7 linked regions of the Canis lupus familiaris genome follow. The protein of the gene in region 1 interacts with the protein of each later gene in a pairwise test. Links are inferred from orthologs where the notes say so. Each region holds a gene or a part of one and is shown in the gene's direction. Other genes may lie near its edges.

Evidence for each region.
Region 2: the proteins of LDOC1 (region 1) and LENG1 interact in binary tests that used the Homo sapiens proteins (3 or more experiments, as listed by UniProt). The two-hybrid records come from large-scale screens. The link is inferred for Canis lupus familiaris from reciprocal best matches to the Homo sapiens genes LDOC1 and LENG1.
Region 3: the proteins of LDOC1 (region 1) and CTNNBL1 interact in binary tests that used the Homo sapiens proteins (3 or more experiments, as listed by UniProt). The two-hybrid records come from large-scale screens. The link is inferred for Canis lupus familiaris from reciprocal best matches to the Homo sapiens genes LDOC1 and CTNNBL1.
Region 4: the proteins of LDOC1 (region 1) and ATF4 interact in binary tests that used the Homo sapiens proteins (3 or more experiments, as listed by UniProt). The link is inferred for Canis lupus familiaris from reciprocal best matches to the Homo sapiens genes LDOC1 and ATF4.
Region 5: the proteins of LDOC1 (region 1) and PLEKHF2 interact in binary tests that used the Homo sapiens proteins (3 or more experiments, as listed by UniProt). The two-hybrid records come from large-scale screens. The link is inferred for Canis lupus familiaris from reciprocal best matches to the Homo sapiens genes LDOC1 and PLEKHF2.
Region 6: the proteins of LDOC1 (region 1) and PSMF1 interact in binary tests that used the Homo sapiens proteins (3 or more experiments, as listed by UniProt). The two-hybrid records come from large-scale screens. The link is inferred for Canis lupus familiaris from reciprocal best matches to the Homo sapiens genes LDOC1 and PSMF1.
Region 7: the proteins of LDOC1 (region 1) and PRPF31 interact in binary tests that used the Homo sapiens proteins (3 or more experiments, as listed by UniProt). The two-hybrid records come from large-scale screens. The link is inferred for Canis lupus familiaris from reciprocal best matches to the Homo sapiens genes LDOC1 and PRPF31.

The regions. Positions count from the first base shown.
Region 1 is NC_049260.1:112,048,718-112,052,308, forward strand, and holds LDOC1 (protein LDOC1), read left to right. Parts: upstream 1-1,535; 5' UTR 1,536-1,682; coding exon 1,683-2,126; 3' UTR 2,127-2,950; downstream 2,951-3,591. UniProt on the Homo sapiens protein: May have an important role in the development and/or progression of some cancers.
Region 2 is NC_049222.1:103,811,672-103,815,953, forward strand, and holds the start of LENG1 (leukocyte receptor cluster member 1), read left to right. Parts: upstream 1-1,292; 5' UTR 1,293-1,352; coding exon 1,353-1,484; intron 1,485-2,381; coding exon 2,382-2,561; intron 2,562-3,186; coding exon 3,187-3,449; intron 3,450-4,067; coding exon 4,068-4,282. Other genes in the region: TMC4 (transmembrane channel-like protein 4), read left to right, coding at 1-28, 138-293, 589-667, 772-849.
Region 3 is NC_049245.1:26,819,686-26,824,116, forward strand, and holds the start of CTNNBL1 (beta-catenin-like protein 1), read left to right. Parts: upstream 1-1,609; 5' UTR 1,610-1,621; coding exon 1,622-1,744; exon of another isoform or gene 1,745-1,864; intron 1,865-4,431. UniProt on the Homo sapiens protein: Component of the PRP19-CDC5L complex that forms an integral part of the spliceosome and is required for activating pre-mRNA splicing.
Region 4 is NC_049231.1:26,489,531-26,493,814, reverse strand, and holds ATF4 (cyclic AMP-dependent transcription factor ATF-4), read left to right. Parts: upstream 1-1,447; 5' UTR 1,448-1,661; intron 1,662-2,269; 5' UTR 2,270-2,361; coding exon 2,362-2,587; intron 2,588-2,680; coding exon 2,681-3,507; 3' UTR 3,508-3,592; downstream 3,593-4,284. UniProt on the Homo sapiens protein: Transcription factor that binds the cAMP response element (CRE) (consensus: 5'-GTGACGT[AC][AG]-3') and displays two biological functions, as regulator of metabolic and redox processes under normal cellular conditions, and as master transcription factor during integrated stress response (ISR).
Region 5 is NC_049250.1:40,413,988-40,418,371, reverse strand, and holds the start of PLEKHF2 (pleckstrin homology domain-containing family F member 2), read left to right. Parts: upstream 1-1,376; 5' UTR 1,377-1,458; intron 1,459-3,022; exon of another isoform or gene 3,023-3,308; intron 3,309-4,384. UniProt on the Homo sapiens protein: May play a role in early endosome fusion upstream of RAB5, hence regulating receptor trafficking and fluid-phase transport. Enhances cellular sensitivity to TNF-induced apoptosis.
Region 6 is NC_049245.1:20,361,709-20,365,522, reverse strand, and holds part of PSMF1 (proteasome inhibitor PI31 subunit), read left to right. Parts: intron 1-1,139; exon of another isoform or gene 1,140-1,247; intron 1,248-1,347; 5' UTR 1,348-1,362; coding exon 1,363-1,491; intron 1,492-3,814. UniProt on the Homo sapiens protein: Plays an important role in control of proteasome function. Inhibits the hydrolysis of protein and peptide substrates by the 20S proteasome. Also inhibits the activation of the proteasome by the proteasome regulatory proteins PA700 and PA28.
Region 7 is NC_049222.1:103,832,221-103,836,034, reverse strand, and holds part of PRPF31 (U4/U6 small nuclear ribonucleoprotein Prp31), read left to right. Parts: intron 1-237; coding exon 238-327; intron 328-1,280; coding exon 1,281-1,408; intron 1,409-1,488; coding exon 1,489-1,561; intron 1,562-2,024; coding exon 2,025-2,153; intron 2,154-2,248; coding exon 2,249-2,347; intron 2,348-3,690; coding exon 3,691-3,814. UniProt on the Homo sapiens protein: Involved in pre-mRNA splicing as component of the spliceosome. Required for the assembly of the U4/U5/U6 tri-snRNP complex, one of the building blocks of the spliceosome.

The DNA.
Region 1 (3,591 bases):
CTTTTATTTTTATTTTTATTTTATTTTTATTTCAAGTGAGAGTGGAAAACTGTTGGGATGATTTTGAGCAGGGGAGTAAAAAGTTCTCACTTTTGTTCAAAAGGATTCCTGTGCCTACTCTCTGGAGAGAGTGGGCACTGAGAAATATGAGCCACTGCCCTGAGACATGAGTCACTCGTTCCCTGGCCATATCCACAGGGGAATCTGTTCCAAGATCCCCAGCAGATGCCTGAAACTGAGGATAGTCTTGAATTATATATAGACTATATTTTTTCCTATACGTACTTGATACAATTTAAATAAGTTAGGCACACTAAGACATTACTAGCTCATGTGATAAAATAGAATGTTTGTAACACATAACTATTATGCAAGTTTCAAAATATCTCTTAAAGTATCTTACTGTCCTGTACTCACCCTTCTTGTGATGACGTGAGATGATAGAATGCGTAGTGATCCGACGCCAGGCTACTGGTTGATCTTCTGGTGCCAGGTCAGAAGGAGGGTCAGCTGATTCCGGATCAAACCACCCTTGGCACGGGTGACTGAAAGCACCGGAGAGCAAAACCGTGGATCAGGAGGGACTCCTGTGTGTACTGCAGGAAGAGAAGAGTGAAAGCTAAGCAGTTGCAGCAGTCTGGGTGGGATAAGGAAGGCTGGATCAGGGTGGTATAGTGGGAGAAGTGACTGATCTGGGGATATATTTTAAAAGCAGAGCCAACAAAATTTCAGCTCTAGGGTCCTGGACTCAACGATTTAAATAATCCAGTTCAAAGTAGAAAGCCCAAAGCATTTAAAAACACAAGTGTTCATTGTTAAGCAACAAACAACATGCGACCGAGGGCCAAGGGGCATTAACAGGACATGAAACAGAGGGTCAAAGAGAGGCGAGAGCCTGCAAATCGTTCTCCAGTGGTGCTTTTGCAGAAGTTTTTATACTTGACTGTTTAGAAAAAAATACTTTTTAAAAAAGGATGTAGGTATACAATATTGTTTCCCAACTAAAGAAAAAAAAACCCCATTTAGATATTGTTTTGTTTTCAAAGAGGAGCCCCAAGGAAGGGTCTTTCGCAACTCCGAAAGGATGCGTGGCTCCCGCGGGGCAGGCCGCAGCGCCAGCAGTTCCCTGGGTGAGTGGGATTTCAATAAGCGAGGACGTGTGTCACCGAAACGCGCAGGTGGAATCTCGTAGCCACAGACCCACCAAGGAGCCCCGCACTGTGTGAGTCGGCTGAGTCCGAGCGTGACCGATCCTTTAAAGTTGAGCAGGTTGGCCCTCTCTGAGCTGGCTTTTGGCGGTCCCGGGGCGCACATCCGGGGCTCTAGCGCGGGAGCCTGCCCTTCCCGGGCGCCGGCCTCGGGAACTCCGGCCGCGGGCCCCCGGCTCCCGCCCGCCCCCTCCCTTGGACCGAGCCCCCGGCCCCGCCCCCGGCCCGCCGGCCCCGCCCCGGCCCCGCCCCCTCGCGGCGCCGGCAGCGCCCTGACCACGCCCCCCGACCCGGGCCGCGCCGGCGCGCCGGCCGCCCGAGTGGCTGTGCGGGCGGAGCTTGCGCAGCAGCCGGACCCCAGCGCGCACCGCCCTCCGCCCCTGGCCACCGTGCGCCTCGGCGGACACGCACTTCCTGCGAGGCCTCCGTGCGCACCTGAGCCGAGCCCAGCCCTGCGCTTGCAAGCCGTTCGCCATGGTGGACGAGCTGGTGCTGCTGCTGCACGCGCTCCTGATGCGGCACCGCGCCCTGAGCATCGAGAACAGCCAGCTCATGGAACAGCTGCGGCTGCTGGTGTGCGAGAGGGCCACCCTGCTGCGCCAGGTACGTCCGCCGAGCTGCCCGGTGCCCTTCCCCGAAACGTTTAGCGGCGAGAGCTCCCGGCTCCCCGAGTTTATCGTGCAGACGGCGTCTTACATGCTCGTCAACGAGAACCGATTCTGCAACGACGCCATGAAGGTGGCATTCCTAATCAGCCTGCTCACCGGGGAAGCCGAGGAGTGGGTGGTGCCCTACATTGAGATGGATAGCCCCATCCTAGGTGATTACCGGGCCTTCCTCGATGAGATGAAACAGTGTTTTGGCTGGGATGACGACGAAGAAGACGACGACGACGACGACGAGGAAGATGATTACTAGGCCGGGAGACCCTCGGGCCCAGGGGGGAGGGCCCTGCACGCCGCCATCCTCTCCCCCGCCTCTCCTGCCCGGCCCGGAGCCGCCCAGCGCCCTTCCGCCCTCCCATCCCCTTCCCTACCCCCAGCTCTCCGGTTCTCTCCGTCATCCCCCTGTAGTGCTTGCCTTTGTTCCGGTTACCTGCTGCTGGGGCCTCGCTCGGAAGCGCGCCGCCACCCACTCTGGCCAGCCCCGGGGCCCTCCCCTGCTGATTTGGACTGTGTCCTGAGCCCCAGCTATAGGGCAGGCCCCTGTTACAAACTGGTCAGACCACGCACAGCCCTGCCCTGCCGACTGCAAGGCCTCCATCTGCCCAGAGACCTACGCTGCCACTTCACCACCGTCCACCACATTCCAGCGACAGAACACAGCCTTTGAAAATAAGGACCAACCTAGAAGATGCCTGAGTTGGCTCTATGTCCTTGGACATTGATTTGGACAGCTCACCAGCCCCTGAAGGGGCCAGTCTTTCAACCTGGTTAGTTCCCTGCCTACTCCCAGGGTCCTCCCCTTCCCCACCAGATTGCTGCAGGGGCCTAGTGCGCCTGGCAGCCAAATTGTTGACATTTCTTTTCTCCTATGCACCAGTTTTGCACAGCTGTCCTTTTTCTTTCCAAACTGCAGCAGTCCCAACAGATGTGTGCATTTGGACAGAAATACTAAAAACAAAACAAACAAACAAAAACAGGCACTCAGCCCAGCTCCTCAATACCACCTGGAAAAAAGCATTTACGTTCTTTTCAATAAATATCAAGCACTACAAAAATAAAGAAAGGAGTGTCTTTTAATGGTTAAGTGCTATCATTGGCCTCTTCCAATCTCACTCTGACTCCCGTTATGCCCCCTGAGGTCAGGGAACTTAGTTCAGTCCCAGTATTCGCCACTGTCATCTCTAGGCTACAGAGGACAACTACCACAGGGTTTTCTAGGAATTCTGGTACTCTCCTCACCAAGGCATTTCTTAAAGCCCTGGCAAAAGGAGTGAGTGTCCTCTGGGGCCTCCAGGGTGGCATGGGTAAGGGGTGGCTGAGCAGGTGGCACACCATCCCAAACTGGGACACTTGAGAGTTAAAGGGGGACACTGTTAATAATTAGACTAGGACAACAGGCATAAATCTGGACACATACAATGTTATTATCTTCTTGAGCCTTTGGATTCCTTACTCAACACTGCCAGAGAAATTCTGTCCCTTAAGTCTTGTTGCCCGCGGGGCGCTGTTGAGTTCAGACTTCAGTTAACTACGTAGCATATTGTTTTAATGCCCCTTTCAGGTGCTTGAACTGACATTAAGCCCTGGATCCTGTGTGAGTGAACCCATACTAAATAGAGCGTGATCTTAACATTTCAGCACCCCGGGTGCACTGTCTTAGAATCCCCACCCATACATATGTCCCAGATTCCTGCCTATGGAAATTGGAGACTGACTGT
Region 2 (4,282 bases), on another chromosome or scaffold:
CTGTTCCCGTGCTTTACAGCATCTTCCTGTAAGTGTGGCAGGGGCCTGCCTCTCCCTTCTCCTTCCCTCCTTCCTTCCACCCTCATCCAGGATTCTGAATCTTGGCCATCCTTGAACACTGTCTCTGACTTCTTCAGGATCCCACCTTCTAAGCTGTGTGGTCCATTCCAAGGGCAGTCGTCTATCTGGGCCCAGATCCCTGAGTCTATTTCCAACCTCCCTCAGACCGTCCAGAACTTTCTCTTTTTCCTGGGGACCCAGGCTTTTGCTGTGCCTCTTCTCTTAATCTCCAGGTGAGGGAGCCCAGAATCCTGGGTCTGAGTTTGTGTTCCCTGGGGGCCCCTACTGCCTGTTTCTAAGAAAGGAGGGGTTGGGGGCCAGGACTCCTGGGTCTGAGGAGGGAGGGGGCTGGGGGCCTGGACTCTTGGGTCTGAGGTTGGAGGAGCCTGGACTCCCGGGTCTGAGGGAGGAGGGGTCTGGCGGGGGTGGGGTGGGGCTGGGAGTCCAGATCCCCGGTTTCTAAGGAGCCTTTACACTGAAGATATGCTAAGAGCCCCCTGGGTATGGCTTCCATTTCCGTCCCTATAGCATCCTGATGGCATATACCCTGGCCTTGGCTAACTCCTATGGACGTCTGGTCTCTGAGCTCAAACGCCAGATAGAGACGGTGAGGCAAAGCGGGTTCATGGTAGGGGGTCCTGGATGTTGAAAGAAATGGTGGGGAGCGGTCGGCCTCACCTGCACTTCTCTTTACCCTTTACCTCTACCCAGGAGGCGCAGAATAAGGTCTTCCTGGCACAGCGCGCTGTGGCACTGAGCTCGGCCACCGGGGCTCTTCGACCTCCCTAGCCCTGCTCGGGACCATGGCCCACTTCATCCTGCCCCCGGACCCTATGGAAGCCCGCACCTCATCTGTAAAAGAGAACTTGAGAAGACCCTAAGTCCCCGGCTGCGGAGATTTCCGGGGCCCTGACACCCCCTCACTCTCGCGTTAACCTTTCTCGTACCAATAAACGCCGCTGAGACTGCAGAGCGCTTTGTTTGTAACTTGCATCCTGAGCCGGCCAATCAGATTATCGGCCTCGAGAAGGCCAGCCAATCAGCGGCCGCGTCCCGTAGCTTCAGGGCGGGGACAAGTGATTGGCTCAGGACCTGGTGAAGAGGCGGTCTCCAGGCTACACCAACCCGAATTCGGCATCTCAGCCAATCAGCGCTCGCTACGGACTTGGAGGGGCGTGGCAGCCAGCCCAGGGCCAATCCGTAGCTGAGGCAGGAACAACAGGGAACGGCATCCTCTCGCCAATAGAAAGTGCTCAGAGGTGGGCCTGCAGTCGGTGGACGGCTACGACGCCATGAATATCTTGCCCAAGAAGAGTTGGCACGTCCGGAACAAGGACAATGTCGCCCGCGTGCGGCGTGACGAGGCTCAGGCCCGAGAGGAGGAGAAAGAACGTGAGCGGAGGGTGCTGCTCGCTCAGCAGGAGGTAAGCCCCGAGTGCGGTCGGACGCGACTCCCGGGCCGAGCGCGCAGGCGCGTGGGGGAGGGGCCGGAAGCGGGATGGCGCACACGCGCAGTGCCTCCCGTGAGGCTGGAGGAGCTGGGCGCGGTTGGAAACGCAGGGGCTCGCCTGCGCGGGCCCTACCTGAGGCTTCCCCACCTGGGCCTCCCCTTTGCCCTGGTTTCCGCCACTCGTTTTGCGTGAGGCCGGGGTGTGCCTGGCTTAGAGTAGGGGCTGCTGAAAAAATGAATCCTGTGCAGTTCAAAGAAACGCAGACCCACGTTTAGTGTTCCTGCCCGACCCCTCTGGAGCGTCTGCTGTATGCTCGCCCCGAGCAGAGCGCTGGACCTGCTCTGTTCGTGCCCAGAGGGCACTGCCCTCCGCTGTGCAGAGAAGTGGGACGTACCCATCCCCCTGTGGGGCCAGCCCTCTCCCCGCGGCCCCCAACCCCGGGGGTTCTCGGAGTAACTTCTAGCTTCTAGTGTGCACGGAGTTTGAAGTTTGTTAACGAATCTGGCCCTCACCGCTGGCCGGGAGGTGGTCTGGGCTTTTAAAGCTCACTTTGGTCAGCAGATTGCACGTGGTCGAGGGACAGTGATCTGGAGCCTTACTGTATTTCTGGTCGCCTGCTCGCAAATTTTGGGCTGCCTTCCTAGCTGTTTTTATTGTGCCAGCTGAGGTTGGGAAACCCTTCTGGTTCACCAAAGGCAGCGTACAAACCCAGGTGTCACCTCATTCTCCCATCCTCTCCCCCAGGCTGGGTGATGCTCTGATGAGCCCTCAGCACCAGCACGGGGATTCTCTGTGCTTGGCACCGGTCTCACAGTTCTTGGAGGCATGGCTAGGCAATGAATGCTCTGCCTGTAACTTTCTTTCCCCCAGGCCCGCACAGAATTCCTACGGAAGAAAGCCAGGCACCAGCACTCGCTACCTGAGCTCCAAGCAGCAGAGGCGGGAGCCCCCAGTTCTGGCCCTGTGGACCTATTTCGGGAGCTGCTGGAGGAAGGGAAAGGGGCGACCAGAGGCAATAGAGAGTATGAGGAAGAAAAGCGACAGGAGAAAGTAAGCTGCGCGCCCCCCCCACACCCGTCCCTGTCAGTCAGGGGTAAAGTCTGGGGTGACTGATGGGAACAGAGAGGTAGGGTGGGGATGAAATGAGCTGACACAGAGAACTCAGTACTGGAACACAGCACTCCCAGTGTGGGTTATTGGCACCCTCCCTGCAGGGGCTTGGAAGTGGGTGCACGGCACTGTCAGGTACAGACCCCTTGGGCTGATGTCAAGACCCTGTGGAGGTGTATTAGGAAGCTTTTTCATCTAAATCAGAACCTGGGTCCTGTCACTTACCCACTTTCAGGGGTTCCCACCAAACTCTGAACTTGCCTTTGTCTCGCCTCACTCCTTTGCCTTGCTGGCGGGCTTTCAGGTTCATCTTTAAAGTATCTCCCCAAAGATGCTGCCTCTGAACCCTAAAGCAGCTGCACCCTGTCCTTCCCCCTTGTGTTTTTTGTTATTGAATTGACACTCTGCCCAGTGCAGGAGGCCCACCTGTCCTTGGAAAAATGGCTGAGTTGACTCATGCTGCTTCTACCTGTCCAGGAGCCTGGGGGATTCTGTTGTCACAGGTAGGGCTCCCTGAGTGGAGACATCGCTGACATCCTCAGTTCCCTCTTTCTGTCCCCCTCAGGAGAGGCAGGAGAAAGCTCTGGGCATCCTGACCTACCTGGGCCAGAGTGCAGCAGAAGCCCAGACTCAGCTGCCTTGGTATCAGCTACCCCCACGGCAAGGGGCCCCCCAGCTCAGCCCAGGTCCAGATGAAAAGATCAAGAACCGCCTGGACCCTCTACAGGAGATACAGAAGCACTTGAGGAGGAAGAGACGGCACAGTGGGGACAATGGTGGCCATGGCAGGAAGGGGAAGGAGAAGCCTGAGAAGCAGCGGCCTGAAGTGTAAGGAAGTGGGCAGCTGCATTGGTGCTGTCAGGGTGAGGGGCTGGGGGCCTGGGGAGGCGGCTCGCCACGTGTGGCTTTGGGGCTCCAACGCCCTAGCAGGGGGTCTGCAGAGGCAAGCTGGTTTTCCTGAGCCCCTGTGACCCTTCACTCAGCCTTGATTGTCCAGTGGCTTCTAAAGAGACAGGGCGTGAAGAGACACTGTGGTGACTGGGGACGTAACCTTGTTTCAAGGTTTTCTCGCTTCTATGCAAAATAGCAATAGATGAAACCCACTGACACAAAGCTTTCTGGGGTCTAGTTTGAGAACCACGGGGTCAGTCAGAGCAGGTTTGTGTCCCAAGGAGGACAAACCTGAGCAGGTCTCCTAGCTCCTACAGAAGGAGAAACTGAGGTCCTGGCTGTGCTCATCATCATAGCTCATGATTTGGAGGGGCATCAGGGGCAGTGATGGCAGTCCTGGGTCCTTGCACAGCATGAGGCCAGCTTCCTACCCACAAACCTCTCAGACCAGAGCAGGTAGAGGTGGACGGGGTTCCAGGTGGGGCAGCTCCTTCTTGGGGGAAAGTGGGACCTCTAGGGGCTATAAGCTTTCTGACCTGAGTGTTCTCCCCCCAGACCCCCATCCCTGGACCAGCTTCGAGCTGAACGTCTTCGGCGGGAAGCAACAGAACGGGCTCGGGCAGAGGCCCTGCTGGCACGAGTCCGGAGCACAACCCCCCAGGAGGAGCAGCCTGAGGAGGAGACAGATGAACGGCGGAGGCGGTACAACTCCCAGTTCAATCCCCAGTGGGCCCGGCGCCCCACCAGCAAGACCCCAGCGCTCACTGACT
Region 3 (4,431 bases), on another chromosome or scaffold:
AGGTGAATTAATTTTATATTTTCTTTGACCCACTATATTCAAAAGAAAATTTCAACATGTAATCAACAGAACTCTTAGAAATCAGGACCCCTGGGTGGCTCAGCAGTTGGGCACCTGCCTTCAGCCCAGGGCGTGACCCTGGAGTCCCTGGTTCGAGTCCTGCATTGGGCTCCCTGCATGGAGCCTGCTTCTCCCTCTGCCTGTGTCTCTGCCTCTCTCTCTCTCTGTGTCTCTCATGAATAAATAAATAAAATCTTAAAAAGAAAAAAATCTTAGAAATCTGGTGTGTATTTTATTTACATTTATGGCACATTTCAACTCAGACTAGCTGTATTTCAAGCCCTCGGTTGCCACATGTGGTTAGTAGATATAGAACTGGACAATGCATTTCTACGCCTCAGTTTCCTTATTTGTGAAATGAGGATAAAATTGGCTAGGTCATAGGGATGCCTGGGTGGCTCAGGGCATGATCCTGGGGTCCTGGGATCGAGTCCTACATCAGGCTCCCCATATGGAGCCTGCTTCTCCTTCTGCCTATGTCTCTGCCTCTCTCTGTGTTTCTCATGAATAAATAAATAAATAAATAAATAAATAAATAAATAAATAAATAAATAAATAAATAAATAAATAAATAAAATCTTTAAAAAAAATTGGAGAGCACAAGTGAAACTCTCGCTGCTCCGCCCTGCACATAGGGGGCGCCCAACAAATCCTGGCTCCTTTGGGTCTTTCCTCTCACCCTACCGCCCTCCTCCAAGTCTCCGCCCCCTTCCCCCCACGCCCCGCCTCCTTCAGGCTCCGGGCGGAAGCAGTACCGTCGCAAATGCAGCGCGCGTTACGGTGGCGTTGCCTTTTACAGCAGTGTGGCCGGCTTCCGTGGCCCTCTCACTTTTACCTCATTGGCCGTGCGACCCGCTCACCGCGCTTTCCGGCAGTGTGGCCGGAGCCGCAGCGGAGGGGCCCGCGGTTTGGCCGTGAGTGGAGGGAAGCTGAGTAGCAGGTGTTGGCTGGGCCTGGTACCATGGATGTGGGCGAACTTCTGAGCTACCAGGTATGAGGGGCGAGGCAGGCCGGGAGCCATCCCCTCACCCAGGCAGGGCTCTGCGGTCGCGGGACCAGAGCCCCTTCATCTCCCCCCGCGTCGCCTCTGTCCCCGGCCGCGTCCCCCGCGCTCCTGAGGCTCCGGCGTCCGAGCCCCTCGTTTCACTCCACTCCCCTGAGACTTTCCTGGGCCCTTTGGTTCATTCCTTCTCAGAGCGCAGGCTCCTTCGTCTCAGCTGCAGCCTGGGCCTCTTCTTGCCCTACCCTGGGTTGGGGCCTGGTCCCCGTCAACTCTTCCGCAGGCCCCCGGCCACCTTCGCAGCCATCTCGTCGGCTTTCCGGTCCCCCGGGCGTTGTGTTGGTGGCGGCGGTGGGAGGGCACTGGCCTTGCCCGCCTTTGACCCCGGCTTCCCCAGTAATTAGCCATGTGCCCTTCGGACGAGTCATCTCCCCCTCTTTGAGCGTCAGTTTTTGTATCTGTAAGACGGCGACAGTCCTAACCCTCCCGTTGGGTTGTCTGAGGCCTCCGTTGCAAACTACCGGGTGTGAAAGCTGGTTGTAAAGTGTAAGAGCTGTTCCCATGCCATTGTTAGGAGATGCGTGGAATTCTAGCGTGGAATCTTCTCGTCCTCCCTGCTCTGGCTACTTGGCGGGAATCCGCGGCCCAGAGGGCAGAAAGGACTTATCCAGAGTCACTCAACAAGTAAGAGCTGGGATTGGAGCTGAGGTCTCCTGGCTCCCAGTTCAAAGGTTTCCCCCTCCTTGACTTCCTACAGGGGCCCCTCGTGAGAGGCAGTAGAGCCCCGCTGTCCACGTTGTTCAGGTGGCTACTTACCTTTTAGTGTGGCTATTAAAATTGCATATATAACCGGTCTTGTATTTCCATTGGCAGGTCTGCAGTAGAGAATAGGTCGTTAAGAACTAGGGGCCGGGGCTGCTTGTTCCTTGGAGTGTCTCTTTTGCTATTAACTGGCTGCTGTAACCTTGCACAGAATACTTACTTAACTAACTCTTTGTGCCTTGGTTTCCCCATGTGTAATTAGGGGCAAAGATGGTACCTGCCACATAAGTCTGTCATGAAGTTCTTAATGGTCTGCCAATGCTTGTCAAAGAGTAAAAGTTCAGCAAACACTAACAATTATATTCATGTCACTCCCTCAGCCAGTATATGAAGAACAGACCTTGGAGACGTCGTAGAAAAGAACTTATAAGCAACGGGAGATATATAGCCAAGAGATTTATCTCTCTCTCTTTTTTTTTTTTTTTAAGATTTTATTTATTCATGAGAAACACACACACAGAGAGAGAGAGAGAGAGGCATAGACACAGGCAGAGGGAGAAGCAGGCTCCATGCAGGGAGCCCGACATGGGACTCGATCCTGAGTTGCCAGAATCACACCCTGGGCTGAAGGCAGGTGCTAAACCTCTGAGCCCCCGGGGCTGCCCGAGATTTCTCTTTTTAAGACAGTTATTGAACATGAAAGAAGAAAGGAAATAAGGTTGTTGAATGAGTGGTTACATATCTGTTTGGGAGTTGTAGAATGGCAGGCCCACTGACTCAGAATATTGAAGCTAAAAGAGATTCATTCATTTGCTCAAAAAACATTTATTGAACGCCTACTGTTCAAAATCCTCTGAGTATACAATATTGAACAAAACAGACAAGGTTCTTGCTTCTGTGGAGCTTGTAGTCTGGTGAGAAAGTTAGAAGATGATAAGTGTGTAAGTAAATTCAGATTGTGATAGGCTCTTGAAGGCTAAGCAGAGTATACTCTGTAACTGTGCTGTTTTGTGAGATAGCCACTGGCACCTGTGGCTACTTGAAATGTGGCTAGTTGGAATTGAGAGCTATGTGTGGAATTGAGAGCTATGTGTAAAATACACATTGGATTTCCAGGATTTAGTGTGAAATAAATTAATGTAACGTATATTAATAATCTTTATATCAATTCCATGTTGAAATGATATGTGGGGTATATTGGCTTAAAGAAAATATATTATTAAAGTTAATGTTACTTTCTTTTAAACTTTTTTTTAATATGACTACTAGAAAATTTAAAGTTATATGTGGCTGTATATGTGGCTCATTTGTGGCTTTCAGTATATTTTTATTAGATAGTGCTATGATTGAAAATAACCCCTGAGGGACACCTAGGTGGCTCAGTGGTTGAGTGTCTGTCTTTGGCTCAGGGCGTGATCCCGGGGTTCTGGGATTGCGTCCCACATCGGGCTGCCTGTGAGGCACCTTCTTCTCCCTTTGCCTATGCCTCTGTCTCTCTGTCCCTCGTGAATAAATAAATAAAATCTTAAAAAAAAAAATAAAATAACCCCTGGCAGTAGGAGACAGGACCTATTACCTTTGGGTAATATGGTCTGGGAAGGACTCTGAGGAATGGATGCTAAAGGACTGAAGGTTGAGAAGGAGCCAATCATGTAAAAGGGCAGAAGAATCAAGGCAGAGGGAAGAGCACGTATGTAGGCTATGAGGTAGAAGCTGGTACAGCCTTTTAGAAGATCAGTGAGAGGATTGATGGTGCTGGAACATGGTGAGTGAGCAGGAGAATGGTAGATGATGAATAGGAGATGTAAGCAGATGACAGACAATGTAGGTCTTCCTGTAGGCCATGGTAAGGAGTTCAAATTTTATTTGGAGAGATGTTATATAGATAACCTCATGCAGCCCACTTCATTACAGATGAGGAGTGAACCCCATTCTGATAAAGCACTTCTCTGCAGCTGTGGGCTAAGGTACTGGCATAGTTGAAACCAGAATCCTGATCTCCTTATTTTCATCTCTGTTCATTCCCCATATGCACTATTCATGCAATTTCCTTTTCGTAAGATGGATGTCCACTCCTCCTGTTCCTAAAAGATGGTACAGTCTGGAATCTAGTTCATAATCAATCAAATGCACCCATCCTCTTGTGGAAGTAGGTGAAGATCATTTGAATTAATGAACGCAAAAGCTCTTCAAAAACAGTAACATTTTATAGCTATGAAAGATGCATCATTTACTTGTACCATCTCTCAAAATCTTTCTAATAACCCTATGAAGAAGGTACTGTCTCTAATCCTTGTTGTACAGATTAGGGAACTGAGGTACAGAAAAGCACCTGCCTCATAACTGAAGCTCCTAGTGACTGTGCTGTCGTGCCTGCCTACTCTGTGCCAGATGCTGAATAAAGTGCTTTCAGATGGATTCTTATATTTAATTGTCAACATGCTTTGAGGTGAGGGGCATGCCTATTTTATAGAAAAGGACACTTGAGCTAGGGAGGTCAGTTACCTGCCCAAGGACAATAGCCAGGAGCAGAGCCAGAACTGGAACCGAATGATTACCCAACCTGGTTTTCTGTTTTGTTTTAAGATTTTTAAAAACTTAAAAAATTG
Region 4 (4,284 bases), on another chromosome or scaffold:
GCTTTGGGCCACACACCTCCCATTAGTTCTCAGTTTGACCTTGTAAAGAAATCGTTGGGCTGGCTAGTGAGTGGTCTGTAGTTATCAAGGACAGTGTCCGCCCCCCCCCCCCCCCCCCCAATTTTTGACCTCACAGCCCTCCTACAGTTCTATGGCCCACTAAAACGGAGGCAGAAACTCCAAGGTTTCTGCCCTCCAGGGGCCTGAAGGAGACGGAGGATAGTGGAGACCTTTCCCGGCACTCTTCACAGCTCTCCGGTGGAGAGCAAGTTGCAGGCCTTGACCTGGACCGCCGCTTCCAAACACGAACCTCCAAACCTCCGTGAGTGGGCGTGGGTGCTCAAGATTCTCCCCCCACCAGGTTGCAGAATTGGGAGAGGGACAGATACCAGTTTAACAAAATCTCTTAGGGGAACTGCATCTGTATAAACCAAAAGAAGTTCCCTGTGATAGACTGCATACTTTTAACAGAAACGTTTTGGCAGGCCGGTATGCGAGAGTCACTAACTGGGCTAGATTGTGCACCTTCCCGACCGGACTGGAGAGTTCACGGGAAGGACGCGGCGTTGGCCCCTGACGGTGTGTGGGGAGCGTTTAGAACCCGACTGAGGCCCTCAGTCTCCCCTTTCAGCTACTTCGGTGCTTGCGTGTGATGAAAACGCACCCGAAATTCCACTTCCTTTTGCCTAGTTTCATCTCGGGCCTGAACTTGGGTCTCTAATTCGGAGCTGGACGGAGGGTGGCAGGAAGGGACCACAGGGGCCAGGGCCTGATGTCGCCGTTTGGGACTCCTCGGGCTCCAGAAGCCCGGGGGAGGAGCCAGGGTCGTCTCGGACAGCCTCGCGTACGCCAGGCTCAAGAAGCCACTACAGAGCGGATTCACCGAGACGCGGCCACGGAGGACACAGCCCGGCGGCGGGAACCCCGCTGGCCGCTCCGCCCCTTCCCGCTCGGACCCGGCCTCCCGCTCGGAGCGGCCCGCCCATCCCGGGGTCTGAGCCAATAGGAAACCGAGATATATATGACTCACCATGTCTAACCAATCAGCTCGACGCTCGCTCTCCGCCAGCATCTCGCGCGATAACCAGGCGGCCTCTGACTTCACAATAAAAACCTTCCTTGAGGTGAAAGACTTCTCTCCCCGCCCCCCAGGCTGACGCCGGAAGCGAGGTGTGTCTGAGGAATCCCTCCGCGCTCCCGGCGGCAGAGGGAGGAGAGGCTCTTTGATCTTAGTAGCCTTGCAAAGTAGCGCGCCTTTTTCCTTTCTCGAGACGTTGGAAGTAACAACTCTTCTCTTCACAGCTACGCCGTGGACCTAAAAGTCGCTGGTCGGACACGATAGGGGCGTCGGATCGCGAAGACGGGTGGGTGGGAGGCGCGGGTCACGTGACCGCGGCGGAAGGATGTGCGGTGTGATGCGTCCTCATAGAGGCAAAGTCTATAAAGGACCCTCGATCGGCGCGGCGCGGCCATTTCCCTTCCTCCCGCCTGTAGATGTAGATCCCTGTGGCAAGCGTGCGCCTTCCCTCCTCCAATCCCCCAGGGTCCGCGGCCGCCATGGCGTATTAGAGGCAGCAGTGCCTGCGGCAGCATTGGCCTTTGCAGCGGCGGCAGCAGCACCAGGCTCTGCAGCGGCACCCCCCAGCGGCTTAAGCCATGGCGTAAGTACGGGGCCGCCCGCGCCGTGCTCCCCCGGGTCGGCGAGGGCAGTCGGCCCGCCTGGGCGCGGCCTGCGGCGGGGCGGGGCGGTGCCGCGTAGGGGGAAGCGGCTTTACGAGCGCCCGGGACGCGTGGCCCCTGTTTGGGTGTCCTCGAGACGCCGACGCTTCTGGGTCAGGAGAGTGCGGCCCGGCGGGGAGAAGCGAGCCCTCGGCGGCCCCGGCCCCGGCCGCGGCCCCCGACGGCTTCCCGCCCGGCCCCCCGCGAAACGTGGCAGGGGCCAAGATGGCGGCCGGGCAGGGCGGCGGCGGCGCAGCGTGAGTCACGGGCGGCCGTGGGCGGGGCCGGGCGGCCTGGGCCGTATTTGGACATGAGCCGGGCGCGCCTCCTCCGGCGGCGGGGGGAGGAGCGGCCCGGCCCCGAGGGCGTCCATCTTGGGCGGCCCGACGGGGCCGCGGGGAAGGTGGAAGCCATGGCCCCGGGGCCACGTGTCCCCGAGCCTCTGCTCCCGAGTGGAGTTCCAGTCTGGCCGTCCTGCCCCCGGGAGGAAGGGATGAGCTTCCCGGACCGGCCGATGTCGAAGGGGTTTCGGTTTCTGCTTCCGTTTCAGGCTTTTCACGGCATCCAGCAGCAGCGTTGCTGTAACCGACAAAGACACCTTCGAATTAAGCACATTCCTCGATTCCAGTAAAGTCCCGCGACATGGCCGAGATGAGTTTCCTGAGCAGCGAGGTGTTGGTGGGGGACTTGATGTCCCCCTTCGACCAGTCGGGTTTGGGGGCTGAGGAAAGCCTAGGTCTCTTAGACGACTACCTGGAGGTGGCCAAGCACTTCAAACCTCATGGGTTCTCCAGCGACAAGGCTAAGGCGGGCTCCTCCGAATGGCTGGCTTTGGATGGGTTGGTCAGTGCCTCAGACAACGGCAAGGGTGAGTGGGGGTCGTTGGCCGCCGGGTCTGGTCTCCGGGCTGTTGCTGAAGTGTGCGTCTGACCTCTCGGGTTCCTTCTTGACTCTTTTGCAGAGGATGCCTTCTCCGGGACAGATTGGATGGTGGAGAAAATGGATCTGAAGGAGTTTGATTTTGACACTCTGTTCAGTATAGATGACCTGGAAACCATGCCAGATGAGCTTTTGGCCACGTTGGATGACACGTGTGATCTCTTTGACCCCCTAGTCCAGGAGACTAATAAGGAGCCCCCTCAGATCGTGAACCCAATTGGCCATCTCCCAGAAAGTTTACCAAAAACAGACCAGATTGCCCCCTTTACCTTTCTGCAACCACTTCCACTCTCCCCAGGGGCCCTGTCCTCCACTCCAGATCATTCTTTTAGTTTAGAGCTAGGCAGTGAAGTGGATATCTCTGAAGGAGATAGAAAGTCAGATTCTACTGCTTACATTACCGTGATCCCTCAGTGCATAAAGGAGGAAGATGCCCCCTCAGATAATGACAGTGGCATCTGTATGAGTCCTGAGTCCTATCTTGGGTCCCCCCAGCATAGCCCCTCTACCTCCAGGGGCTCTCCAAATAGGAGCCTGCTGTCTCCAGGTTCCCTCTGTGGTTCTGCCCGCCCCAAACCCTATGACCCTCCTGGAGAGAAGACCGCAAAAGTAAAGGTTGAGAAACTAGATAAGAAACTGAAAAAAATGGAGCAGAACAAGACAGCAGCCACTAGGTACCGCCAGAAGAAGAGGGCAGAGCAGGAAGCCCTCACTGGTGAGTGTAAAGAACTGGAAAAGAAGAACGAGGCTCTGAAGGAGAGGGCAGATTCTTTAGCTAAGGAGATCCAGTATCTGAAAGATTTGATAGAGGAGGTCAGAAAGGCCAGGGAGAAGAAAAGGGTCCCCTAGTTGGGGGTGTCAGGAATGTGTGCTTGTACATAGGCTTGCGCTGAAGCTGTGTTGTAATAAATTATTTTGTAGTGAAAGTACTTGAGCTCGTGTGTACCTGGTTTCTTGTCTTAATCTCTACCCTGGTGATGGTGACCAAGTCAAGTGGAGTTGGCTCAATCCTGTTGGGCTCAGGGCCTCCACAGGAGACTCTGGGGGTGAGGCTGTGGCCTCATAAGCCATAACACTGACTAGTCTTGAGTACCCAGGTAAGGCCCCACCTGGGCATACAAGGTTAAATTCCACTTTGAACTCAAGTTCTGTAAACTCAATCCTGGAACTGCAAAGAAAAGGTCTTTGGGTTTTTCTTGGAATGGACTGTTAAAGGAGTTTTAAAGAGATGCAGAAATTCTTAGCCAGTGCTGGGCTCAAAGGCTGGCAATCTGACCAGAGGAATCCTTGCTGCAATTGGTGTGCAGGGCTAGCTCTCCAGGAAGAGCCAGTCTTGACGTTCATTGGAATGGCGATGGGGACACCCAGTGTGGCACCAGGTAGTGTGAGCTTTTTATGTGCTTTCTCCTGGTCCCTGGGGTAACCCTGTGGGGCATTTCCTCTGGGGAAAGTAGGTATGTGAAGGAACCTATGGCTCTTCACCCATTTGGCCCCTCGAAGAGCTTGGAAAACAAGGCATGTGAGGGTCTGTCTGCAAGGTGGGCCTGTGTTTCCCTGATCTGCTTCCCAATGCCCAGCATAGTAAGTGGGAGAGCCAGCCCCCTGTTGGGATGCAAGCAGCGGTGA
Region 5 (4,384 bases), on another chromosome or scaffold:
CCGGGGTTGCGGGGTGTGCAGGGTGTGCGGGGTTGCAGGGTGTGCAGGGTTGCGCGGTGTGCGGGATGTGCAGGGTGTCCAGGGTGTGCGCGGTGTCCAGGGTGTGCGGGGTGTTCGGGATGTGCAGGGTGTCCGGGGTGTGCGCGGTGTCCAGGGTGTGCGGGGTGTGCGAGGTGTGCGGGGTGTCTGGGGTGTCCGGGGTTGCGGGGTGTGCAGGGTGTGCGGGGTTGCAGGGTGTGCACGGTTGCGCGGTGTCTGGGGTGTGCGGGGTGTGCGGGGTGTGCGGAGTGTCCGGGGTGTGCGCGGTGTCCAGGGTGTGCGGGGTTGCGGGGTGTGCGGGTGTCCCGGAGCCAGGGCCTGTGGCCTCCGGGGCCCTGGGAGTGCTCGCAGGTACGCGGCGTGGGTGGGTGAGGCTGTGGGCGTCGGGGAAGCCCCGCAGGAGCGCAGCGGCGGGCAGGCGGGCGGGCGGGCAGGCGGCCCTTGAGGGTGCGGCGGGCGGCGCGGGCCCGAGTGCGGGGGAGGCGCCCTGGGTCAAGGAGGCCCGGCCCGGGGCGCGCGAGCGAGGCCCTGGGGCGGCGGGCAGCGCGGGCCGCGCGCCTCCGGGCACGTACATCCAGGAGCCTTTCTCTCCCGCCCGCGGGAAGTTCCCGAGGTCCGCGGGGACGCCCGTTCCGTGGCGGGGAGACGCCTCCGAGGAACCGGGTCAGGAGACGCGCAGCCCCTCCCCGAGGCCCGCCGCGCCCAGGACGCCCCCGGGTCTCGGAGCAGCCCGGCCGCCGGGGTGGGCGTGGCCGAGCCCGAGGCCCCGCCCCCTGGAGCTCGCCGCGGGACGGGGCGGCGGGGGGGCGGGGCTCCAGCCTCGGCCACGCCCACCCTGGCAGCGGGGCGGGGCGGCGGCACGGGCGGCGGGGGCCTCAGCCTCGGCCACGCCCTCTCTGGCGGCGGTGGGGCGGGGGCGGGGCCTCGGCTTCGGCCACGCCCACCCGGGCTGTGGGGCGGGCCTCGGCCACGCCCACCCTGGCGGCGGGGCGGGGTCTCGGCTGGGCCACGCCCACCGGGCGGGCGGGGCGGCGGCGCGGGGCGCAAGGGGCGGGGGGCGGGGCGCGGGCCCGGCGGAGGCGCTCGTGCCCGGGGCTCGGGGCGTGTGGGCGGCGGCGCCGGTGCACGCGCAGGGGAGAGGCCGGCGGGCGGCCGTTGTGGGGCTCGACCCGCGGGGCGGGGGAGTCACCTGCGAGGGAGCGAGCGAGCGCCCGCCCGCAGGGTCCGGATCGCGCCGGCTGCGGGCCTCCTCCTCCGCCTCCTCCTCCGCCTCCTCCGCCGCCGCCGCCGCCGCCGCACACGCCCCGGGAGGCGGGGGGCAGAGTCCGCCCCGGAGCCCGGGGCCAGGAGGAGCCGGACCCCCGCCGCCGCCGCCGCCGCCGCCGCCGCCGCCGCCCGGCCGGGCAGGCGAAGCCCGAGGTGCGTGTGCGCGGGAGCCCGGCCGGCCCGGGGAGAAGCGAAACTTTCCGGCGCTTCCCCCGCGGTCCCGGCCGTCTGCGGCGCGGGGAGGTGTCGTCGTCGCGGGCGGCGGCCGACGCCATGTTGGGGTCTGCGGGACACGGGGCGCTCCCGGCCGCTCCCCGCGGGCCCCGGGACGGACGGACCCCCGCCCGCGCCGCCGCCCCGCCCGAGAGGCCGCCGTCCGTCCGCAGGGGCCGCGCCGGGGGGCCGGGGGAGACCGGGGGAGACCGGGGGCTGGGGGTCAGGGACCGGGGGGCGGGGGACCAGGGAGCTGGGGACCAGGGACCAGGGAGACTAGGGACCAGGGGGCTGGGGGTTAGGGACCTGGGGGACTAGGGACCAGGGGGCTGGGGGACGGGGGGACCAGGGGGCTGGGGGTTAGGGACCGGGGGGGCGGGGGACCAGGGAGCAGGGGGCGGGGGACCAGGGGGGTAGGGACCAGGGAGCTGGGGACCAGGGACCAGGGAGACTAGGGACCAGGGGGCTGGGGGGTTAGGGACCGGGGGGCGGGGGACCAGGGAGCTGGGGGTTAGGGACCTGGGAGCCGGAAGACCAGGGAGTTGGGGGCGGGGGGACCAGGGGGGTAGGGACCAGGGGGCTGGGGGGTTAGGGACGGGGGGGGGGGACGGGAGGACCAGGGAGTTGGGGACCAGGGAACTGGAGGTTTGGGGACCGGGGGACCAGGGAGTTAGGGACTAGGGGGGCTGGGGGACCAGGGGGTTAGGGACCGGGGGTGTAGGGACCAGGGAGGTAGGGACTGGGGGACTAGGGGTGTAGGGACCGGGGAGCTGGGGAACCAGGGGTTTAGGGACCGGGGGTCTGGGGGGGCGTTGTGGGACAAGGGGGGTTGGGGACCGGGGGGCTGGGGGTTTAGGGACCGGGGGACCAAGGGACCAGGGGTTAGGAACCGGGGCGCTGGGGGACCAGGGGCCGGGCGGCGGGTTGCGGGCCGAGGGGAGCGGGAGCGGCCGCGGTGGCGTCGTGGGCACGGAGTTGGCGGGCGGGACGTCGGGCCCTGGTGGTGGAGCCGGAGCGCCCAGGGCCTCGGGGCGGGGAGCGGGCTCCGCGGGCCGTAAGGCGCAGCTGGGAGCCGGAGCCGGAGCCGGAGCCGGCGGCCCCGGGCGGGTCGTGCCCCTCCGCGGGCGGCCGGGCTGAGGACAGAGTGGCCGGGCTCCCTGCGGGCCCCCCGCGCCCCGCCCCGCGCCCGCCGGGGGAGCTGCACCTGCGCCGGGGGGGGGGGGGGTCGGGGGCGGCGGGTCAGCCCGGGCCAGGGAAGCTGCCTCGTGTTTTTACCCCGCCCGGGCGCTGGCAGCCCCGAGGGATTAGGCGTGTCCCGGGCGGAGCCGGCGGCCCTGGGGTCCGGGTGACCGTGCGCCCCGCGCCGGCGCCGCGAGAAGGGCCTGGGCTGCGCGCTCCCCGGCACCCCGGGCTCCCCGGGCCGCAGGATAGATCCTAAGACACGTCCTGGACAACTTCCCGCCCTAGTCTAGAGGTGGGAGTGGAGGTCACGCTCAGACTTGGTTCCTAGTTGCCGTAGTTCTTTTCTTTAAGGCTTCATTTATGTATGTGCTCAGGAGAGACCCCGAGGGAGAAGCGGGCTCCCCCCCCCCCCACTGGGCCCGGCCGCCGGGTCACGCCCCAACCACGGAGCCGCCGGGGCCCCTAATTTCCTTAGTTCTTAAAAAAAATCCTTTTTGTGTGGCTTCATTGTCAAGCAAACACCACGGTACACATTTGTTTTTCTGGATGAAGAGTTAACCGAGGAGTGAGGGGACTTAGCGAACTTCATAAACTGAGCCGCCAAACCGGTATGTAAGTGAGGCCTGTAGGACCCTGAGCCCCTGGTTCTCCCTCCAGCATTGACTCCAGGACCTCGTCGCTGTTGCCCGGCCGGCTCCGCCTACCTGGTTTCCCCTGTCGTGGCTGTTCTCTCTGATTTTAGTTCCTCAGTTTACTTATTTCCCGGAGAGCCGATTTACAAGGAATCTTGTAGTGAACTTTTCACTTGAGCCTGTGCTTTGCGAAACCTCCTCTGGGCTGCTCTTACCCCAGCCCCTTCCTCTCCCCAAGACTAATCCACTGACCCCACTGCAGTCCAGCACGCACCACACTGGGCTGCCCCGGTACCTGCGGAGCCTGCTTAGCTTCTTCATCCCTCCTGTGTGGAGATCGGAGCGAACGCTCAGGAAAGCTTTGAATGGACGAGGACTCCTGTGTTCCTTGTAAATGTACTTTATGAATGTCTTATTAAATTGCCCTTTCCAGGGGAGCCTGGGGGGGGGGGTACGATCAGTTAAGCGTCCAACTCTTGATTTCCGCTCAGGTCATGATCTCAGGGTCGTGAGATCGAGCCCCGGGTGGGGTTCCGCACTCAGCCAGGAGTCGGCCTGAGATCCTTTCCCTTCCCTTCTGCGCCTCCCCTCTGTACTCGCTCACATGCTCACACACACTTTTTCTAAAATAAATAAAATCTTGAAAATAAAATAAATTGCCCTTTCCGTGAGCATAGAAGTTAAATCTTTCCTAATACTTTTTTTCTTCTCTTCTTTTCCTTTTTTTGGGGGAGAATTTATTTTGCCAACTCAATGAATTTTGGCCTGGGAATACAGAATTTGAATGTTTATGAAATTTCCAAGTAGATAATAGATTTAAGTATAATCAACAAAGAAGAAGCAATGTGTCAATGAAAGAATAATAATTAGAAAGTGTGGGCAGCTCGGGTGGCTCAGTGGTTTAGCACCGCCTTCAGCCCAGGGCACGATCCTGGAGACCCGGGATGGAGTCCCACGTCGGGCTCCCTGCATGGAGCCTGCTTCTCCCTCTGCCTGGGTCTCTGCGTCTCTCTCTCTGTGGTGTGTCTCTCATGAATCAATAAATAAAATCT
Region 6 (3,814 bases), on another chromosome or scaffold:
CGAGAGGACAGAAGTCAAGGTTATTGCAGTTAAGAGTGCAGGGGATGAGGGAAGAGTTGGAAGAGGTGATGTCAGAGAGACTTAAGGTGGGGTGGGGTGGGGGCACAGACCATATGGAGGTCTCTGCAGACCAGGGAGAGGACTTTCTTTCCCTGAGTATGATGGGAGCCCCGGGAGGGTTTTAAGCAGAAGAGTGAGGTCACTTGGTGTGTGTTCACAGAGTACAGAACAGACTTTAGGGAGACAAAGATGGACTAGGGCGGTTCAGAGGCTGGTGCAGACATCCAAACAAGAGAGGATAGTGGCTCCCCACAGTGTGCTGACTGCAATGAGAAAACTAAATTTATCTGAGCAAAAACCATAAGTGGAATCGAGAAACTTGGGGGGGGGGGGACGCTGTATGCATATATTTTTAGAAACTTGTTGAAGAAATAGTAGGTGGTGAAAATCATGGAGACAGGAAATTAAAAATGATTGAAAGTTGGTAGTGGATCAGGAGCTCCAGCTCTGTGGGCAGCAGCTGTGTCTCCTTGGAGGAAGCGACTTCCATTCTCTGAGCTGGTTCTGTCATCTTCAGAATGGGGATGATCATGGCACACGCCTCACAGAGCTGTGGACAGGGCGATGTAAAGGTTTTGGCACAGGATCCAGCACACAATAAACATTGAAGAAGCGTCATCCTGGGAGCTAGACTGCTAAGTTCCAGTACCATCTCTGCCACGCACTGGCTGGCTGGCTGTGCCATCTCGGTGAAATTCACCCCTCTGTAAAACGAGGCTATCATGAACTCCAACTTCAGAGGGTCAGGTCGTGATGATTAAATTAATGAGTACAAGGAAGCCATTTAGAATGAGGCGGCCCGGAGGAAGCACCGCATACGTGCAGGCTATTATTACGAATATATGTTGCCCATATTTCGTCAACTCTTCCCCCACCAGCAGATGCCCGCCTCACTCTGCGGATGGGTCGTCTGCGGCTCAGAACCAGGTGGCCTCTCCTCGGGGATCTAACTTAACATCCTGCGGGGGGCGGTCCCTCCCGGCTACCGGGGAAAGGGAGACTCCCGCCTTAAAGGACCACGCCCCCGCCCCGCCCCGCCCCGCCCCGCCCCGCCCGCGAGATGCCTAGCAGAACCTTTAAGTGCCGCGCTCCGGTTTCCAGCCGGCGCGCTCGCGCTGCTGAGCCGGCGCTCGGAGCTACTTCCGGCGGCCGCGCTCCGCCCCCGGGCGGCTCCATTTTGGCCGCAGGTGGAGACTAGGCCTGGGCGGGCGGAGTCTCGGGGGGGCGTCCTCGGCAATCGCGGGGCCGAGTGGGCTCACGGCACCGTCTCCTCTCCTTCGCCCGCAGAAACCGGGGGCGAGCATGGCGGGCTTGGAGGTCCTGTTCGCGTCGGTGGCGCCGGCCATCACCTCCGCACAGGACGCGCTCGTCTGCTTTCTGCACTGGGAGGTGGTGACGCACGGCTACTACAGCGTGGGGACCGGCGACCAGGTAGGCCGGAGAGCCAGCCGTGGCGGGGGGGGCGTGGGGTGGGGGGTGGGGGGTGGTGTCTTCTGCCCGGGTCCGGGGCGCGGGCCTGACGCTGCCTCGCCCGAGTCCGGTCCCCGGGGGCTGCCGACGCCGTCGGTCCAGGGAGCGGTGCGGGGTGCCCGGCCCGGCGCCCCTCACGACACAGCTGGGACTACATGATTCGGAAGCCCGAGGACGGAAGCTTGCTTCAGCACAGCCTGGATCGTGCGGTCCTGACGCTGAGACCCGGGCGTCGCTCCGCTGAGGACTGCGCTGGCGGGAGGGGGGGGGGGCTCCACTCGAGCCTCCACGGGTGAATCTGAATCCGAGCGCGCTTACACGGTGAGCTTCGACCTGTTCAGCCCCCCTCAGGGGCCCTTCCTTAACTCCACACGGCTTTCACCTTTCACTGAAGGGCCCCGTGAGGTTCCCACCCGCCGCTGTCATCCCTAGCTCCAGTTCTGGGAAACAGCCAGCAGCCACCCCATCCCCTCCCGCTCCCCCACCCCCACCCCCACCCCCAGGTGCACTCCTGCAGCTGGGATGTGAGGGCCAGGTAAGATTACCTCCCCAACAGCTGCCCTCCCTACAGGATCAGCCCCTCCTGCTCGCCCATCCTCAGGCTGCCTCTGGGAGCTGGGGGCCTTGTCCACGCCCACTGAGCCCTGGGACTCCTGGGCCTTGCCTACTGCGTAATTCTTTGGGGGAGCCTTTGTTCATCTTCCTTGCCCCTTCCCTGGCTTGCTTTCACCCTCCACATCATCCTGCACATTAGCTTCCTGTGAGAACTGGGCCTGGCTGCCTTCCTGCCCCTTCAGTTCTCTTCTACTTCATCAGAGTAGATACCCTCTTAGCCACCCACTCCACATACACGCGGGATGCCCCAGCCTGCCCCTCACCACCACCTTCTCACCCTCAGAAGCTAGATCAGCTCTGGGGAGTAGGGCACCTCACCCCTTGCATCTCTTATGGTGAGATTTGGGCCCTACTTTCATTTCTAACTGCTTCAGTTCTCAAACTCCCTAATCCTTTCTTAGTTACTTAGATGTACATCTAGCGTCTTATGTTGTCCTTTCCTGACACAGCTTTAAGGATCCCTCCTCAGACACAGCGTCCACATCCCGAGCACTGAGAGGCCAGGCATTCCCTTCCACTCCCTGCCGCCCCTCCCTCTGTCCTTTAGAGCAGTGGACGAGATCACCACTCCCTCTCACACTTTCCCCACCAACAGGAGTCACATCAAAAGCACAAGAACTGTCATGATGTCAGGCTTGTTTTTTTCCTGCCAGACCTTGAGTATCTCACAGGGACGCCAGATACACACTTAGCATCCCCCATCCCCAGCCCCCTCCAGGCTCAGACATACATTGCCCCTCATGTGGAATCTGGGACTGGGTATAAGGCTGGAAAAGAAGAGGCCTCACACACGTGGAAGCAGGAACCACGTTTTCCTCCCAAATAGCTCTGTTCTTGGTCTTACTGTCCACTCTGCACTCCATTCCATTTATCCTGTCTTTCTGCATTTCAAGCCTTGGGATTGGGTAGAGAGGAGGCCTCTACCCACAAGTATTAGACTCCCACTCCAGGGCAGTATCCCCAACAGCAACTTTATGTTTCATCACTTGTCCCACTTTAGCTTTCTTTTCTTTTTTTTTTTTTCTTTTAAGATTTTATTTATTTAGTCATGAGAAACAGAGAGGAGAGAGAGACAGAGACACAGGCAGAGGGAGAAGCAGGCTCCATGCAGGGAACCCAATATGGGACTCGGTCCTGGGTCTCCAGGATCACGCCCTGCGCTGAAGGTGGCGCTAAACCGCTGAGCCACCCGGGCTGCCCCCACTTTAGCTTTCTAATCTTGTGTGACTCTTTAACTTGCCCTGGTCATTTCATTTCAGCTCTGCCTGGGAAATCCAGGAAGCTGATGTACAGAATGGCATGGAGTGCAGTGGGGTTGGAGAGGGAAGGAAGACTTACTTGGTCCTGCCTTTGGGGCTCCTCTGTGGGCCCTCAGTTCCCCCCACCCCTTGCTCTGTCCTTCAGATATAACAGATCTGCCCTGCTCTCTGCCTTTGCTCATGGACCTCACCTTGTTTACTCCTAACTAGCTACTTCTGCTCTGACACAGTTGGGATCTTTCCCCCCAGAACAGGAACATGTTACCAAGGGCCTGTGTGACTCCCTCACTTCTCTCCCATGTCACAGGGACATGTCATCACTGCAGATCTGCTCCCACCAATTGTCCCTTCACACACCTGTCAGCAGCTCTGGGTTGTTCTGACAGCTTAGGGATGTCAGTTTGTATGGG
Region 7 (3,814 bases), on another chromosome or scaffold:
CCTGCTGTCTATGAAGAACCCGTTTTCATGAAAAAGTAGGTTGAAAGAAAACCGTGACAGTGAAGATTTGTTGCCATGACACGTTATTACGGTAACACATAGTGAGATGGTGAACCGCTGACCCATGGGAAGTGAGCCAGTGGCAGCTGGGGTTTGGGAAACGCTTGGTGTCTGGTAAATGCTTGGTGTTGGCGGATGAATCCTCCCATTGACTCTGCCCCCTTTCTGCTGCCTCAGGATCTCCGGCGGAAAGCGGCTCGGCTGGTGGCTGCCAAGTGCACACTGGCAGCCCGTGTGGACAGCTTCCACGAGAGCACAGAAGGGAAGGTGAGGCACAGCAGGCATCTGTGTGGGTCTGTCTCCTCTACCAGACTTGTCATTGTTCAGGTCATCACTGAGTTTACCTCTATCTCTCTTGGCAGACTTGCTCCATGAAAGTGGGTATATCTTGTCTTGTGCAGTCTGGCACAGTGTCCAGGCTTCAGTCTCTTTCTCTCACTGCCCCCCACTTTTCCTCTTGACCACTGGTTGAGGTTCCAGTGGGGACAGCAGTGAGCACTCCGACCAAAGCCATGCCCCTGTGGCATTCATGTTCTGGCTGGGGGCGGGGTGAGGACACGGGCCATCTGTGGTGTGTCCAGGGATGCCACATAAATGCTAGGGTGGGATCAAAGGGTGCTGGGCTGGTGAGGGAGGTTGAGTTTAACCCGGACGTTGGGGAGGGCTTTGCTGCAAAGGTGAAGGTCTAATCTGCACCCAAGTGAAGTTGGTGCAAGTGAAGCAAGTTGGTGAAGTGAAGCAAGTCAAGTGAGTGCCTGGGGGAAGAGTCCTAGGAAGGAGAAGCAGCCAGTGCAATGGCCCTGAGCCTGGCCCACAGGAAGCCAGGGAGAGGAGGCTGTGGGATGGGACAGGTCACGCAGAGCCTGTGTGCCCCAGAGAGACCTTGGCTGTAGCAGAGATGCTGAGGGGTGCGATTTGGGGTCTTAACTGAAGGAAAAGCCCAGAGGGAGAGAAGCCAGAGGTGAGGCTCCCAAGTGACCTCCCTTTACCAACTTGTGCAGGCCGGAGCTGGAGGCTGGGGAAGAGGTGCAGGTGTGCGGTTTGGCCCTGTTGCACTCGGGGGCTGCCCTCCTTCTCCCCCATCAAGGACAGAATTATATGAGGGGTGCTGGGAGAAGTCTGAGTCTCCCAAGAAACACAGGCCCCCCAGGCCTGGGAACAGGTGCCACACACAGGTAGAGGGATGGGCAAGGCTCAATGGGACCCCCTGCCCTCCCCAGGTGGGATATGAGCTGAAGGATGAAATCGAGCGCAAGTTTGACAAATGGCAGGAGCCGCCGCCCGTGAAGCAGGTGAAGCCCCTGCCTGCACCCCTGGACGGGCAGCGCAAGAAGCGAGGTGGCCGCAGGTAGGCCCTGAGGGCCAGTGGGGGTGAAGAGGAGGGGAAGGGGCTTGTGACCCCAGCTGACCCCTGGCGCCCCTCCCCAGGTACCGCAAGATGAAGGAGCGGCTAGGGCTGACCGAGATCCGGAAGCAGGCCAACCGCATGAGCTTCGGAGAGGTCAAAGCCTTAGTCTGGATGTCCCCACCACATTTCTTCTCGGCTGAGGCAGCACCTCACCTCCAGCCTCCCCCCACATCCATGTACCCTGAAGGGACCTATGCAGCATTCAGTGTTGGCCCTGTCCCCCGACCCCCACCCTTTTGTACACACCTCCCTGTCGGGTTGGATCTGCCCAGGGAGGGTCCTTCCTCAGGCTTCACCTCTGCCAGACTCATTACCCAAGCATCATCCTCATGGTCCTGCAAGAACCAGCTCAAACACCCTCTAGTCAGCAAGCCCAGTTTTGGTTGTTGACACTGCATACATGAACACTCACAGCTTCCCTCAACTGTCAGCTCAGGGAGCCGTAATAGGACTGGACTCCTCACTGGGCCCCAGCAGGCACCTGAATCGGGTCAGTGCCTGGGGCATCCGGCTGATGAAAGATGGCTAACTCTTGGTTACCTTCCCCTCCCACCAGATCGAGGAAGACGCCTACCAAGAGGACCTGGGCTTCAGCCTGGGCCATCTGGGCAAATCAGGCAGCGGGCGGGTACGGCAGACACAGGTGAACGAGGCCACCAAAGCCAGGATCTCTAAGACACTGCAGGTACAGGCGGGGCCTGAGTGGGCCTGGGAGTCTGGGAGCTCCAGCAGGAGAGCCCAAGCCAAGCCCAAACATCCTGTCCCCTCCCCTCCACACAGCGGACCCTGCAGAAGCAGAGTGTCGTGTATGGCGGGAAGTCCACCATCCGTGACCGCTCCTCGGGGACTGCTTCCAGTGTGGCTTTCACCCCTTTGCAGGTACTGTGCACCTGAGTCAGGAGGCCCAGTTCTGGGCAGGCTCTACTCCCAGCTTTCTGAGTGGACCTGGGCAAGCCCCTTCCTCTCGCAGGGCTGTTGTGGACAGCCTTGTGTATCAGTGAAGCCCCTGAAAGGTACAGCTCAGTTCCTGGTGCTCAGGCTAGTGGGAGCAGAAGGGAAAAGGTCTGCCTGCAAGTGCAGGCTGGCTTTAGGATCGGGCTGGGACTAGGGGTGACTACTGATTCCCCATGACCTCAAGTGGGCTCAGCTCCTCCCTGAGGTGCTAAGTGGCTGGGACAACCTCAGGGCTCCACGGAAGAAAACTCAAAGGTAGCTGGCTGGGAAGCAGAGGTCCCAGCCCAGCCACTCATGCACAGGACAGAGCCTCTGCATCTGTCCATTTCTCAGCCTACCCACAGATAGCGCCAGCACGCCCCATAGCATCGAGTAGAATAACTGAGTTCATTGGCAACATCAGCAAGGGTGTACTGAGCACCTAAGTTTCAGGTGCTGTTGCAGGCACTGGGGATAGAGCCACAAGCACAAGACAGCAAGCCTTGCCCTCAGGGAGCTTGTGGGGTGGCAGGGGTCAGATAAGATATGGAGCCTGGTGGAAAGTGGAAAGTGCAGGGAAGAAAGGGGAGAGGGAGTGAGGCATCGGGTTGGACCCGCCCAGGGAGGCCTCAGCAAGAAGGTCAGAATTACCTGTGGAAGATACTGGGAATGGTGCCAGCCAGTGTGGAGCCCCCACAGCTGGACGCCGTGTCACCAGTAGGCTTGGTGTAATTTGCACGAGGGCCAGAGGTGAGCCACTTAGCTCTGTGACTCAGTTTCCTTATTCAGGAACCAAACCCGGTCAGCTGTTCTGAAACATTGATTTTTTTTTTTTAAGATTTTTATTTATTTATTTATTCATGAGAGACATACAGAGAGAGAGAGACAGAGACACAGGCAGAGGGAGAAGCAGGCTCCATGCAGGAGGCCTGATGTGGGACCCCATCCCGGGTCTCCAGGATCATCAGGCCCTGGGCTGAAGGCGGCGCTAAACTGCTGAGCCACCTGGGCTGCCCAACATTGATGCTTTTAAAATTGCTTAGAGAACTTGATAAAAATTCAGATGCCCAGGTCCTCCCCACTCTTCCCTCTTCCCAGAGCCACAGTTAGAATCTCCCCAGGTTTGGGGTGGGGGCAATTTGGTAATTGGAAAACTGTTCTATCACCTGGAGCCCGGAACCATTGAAAAGGGCCTCCCCGACATGTCACAATTCTCTTACTGGGTAAGGGGGCCTTGTCAGGGGCCAGCCCATCTCCCCACCCCATCATTACCTCATTCACCTGCCCAGGGCCTAGAGATTGTGAACCCACAAGCAGCTGAGAAGAAGGTGGCTGAAGCCAACCAGAAGTATTTCTCCAGCATGGCCGAGTTCCTCAAGGTCAAGGGCGAGAAAAGCGGCATCATGTCCACCT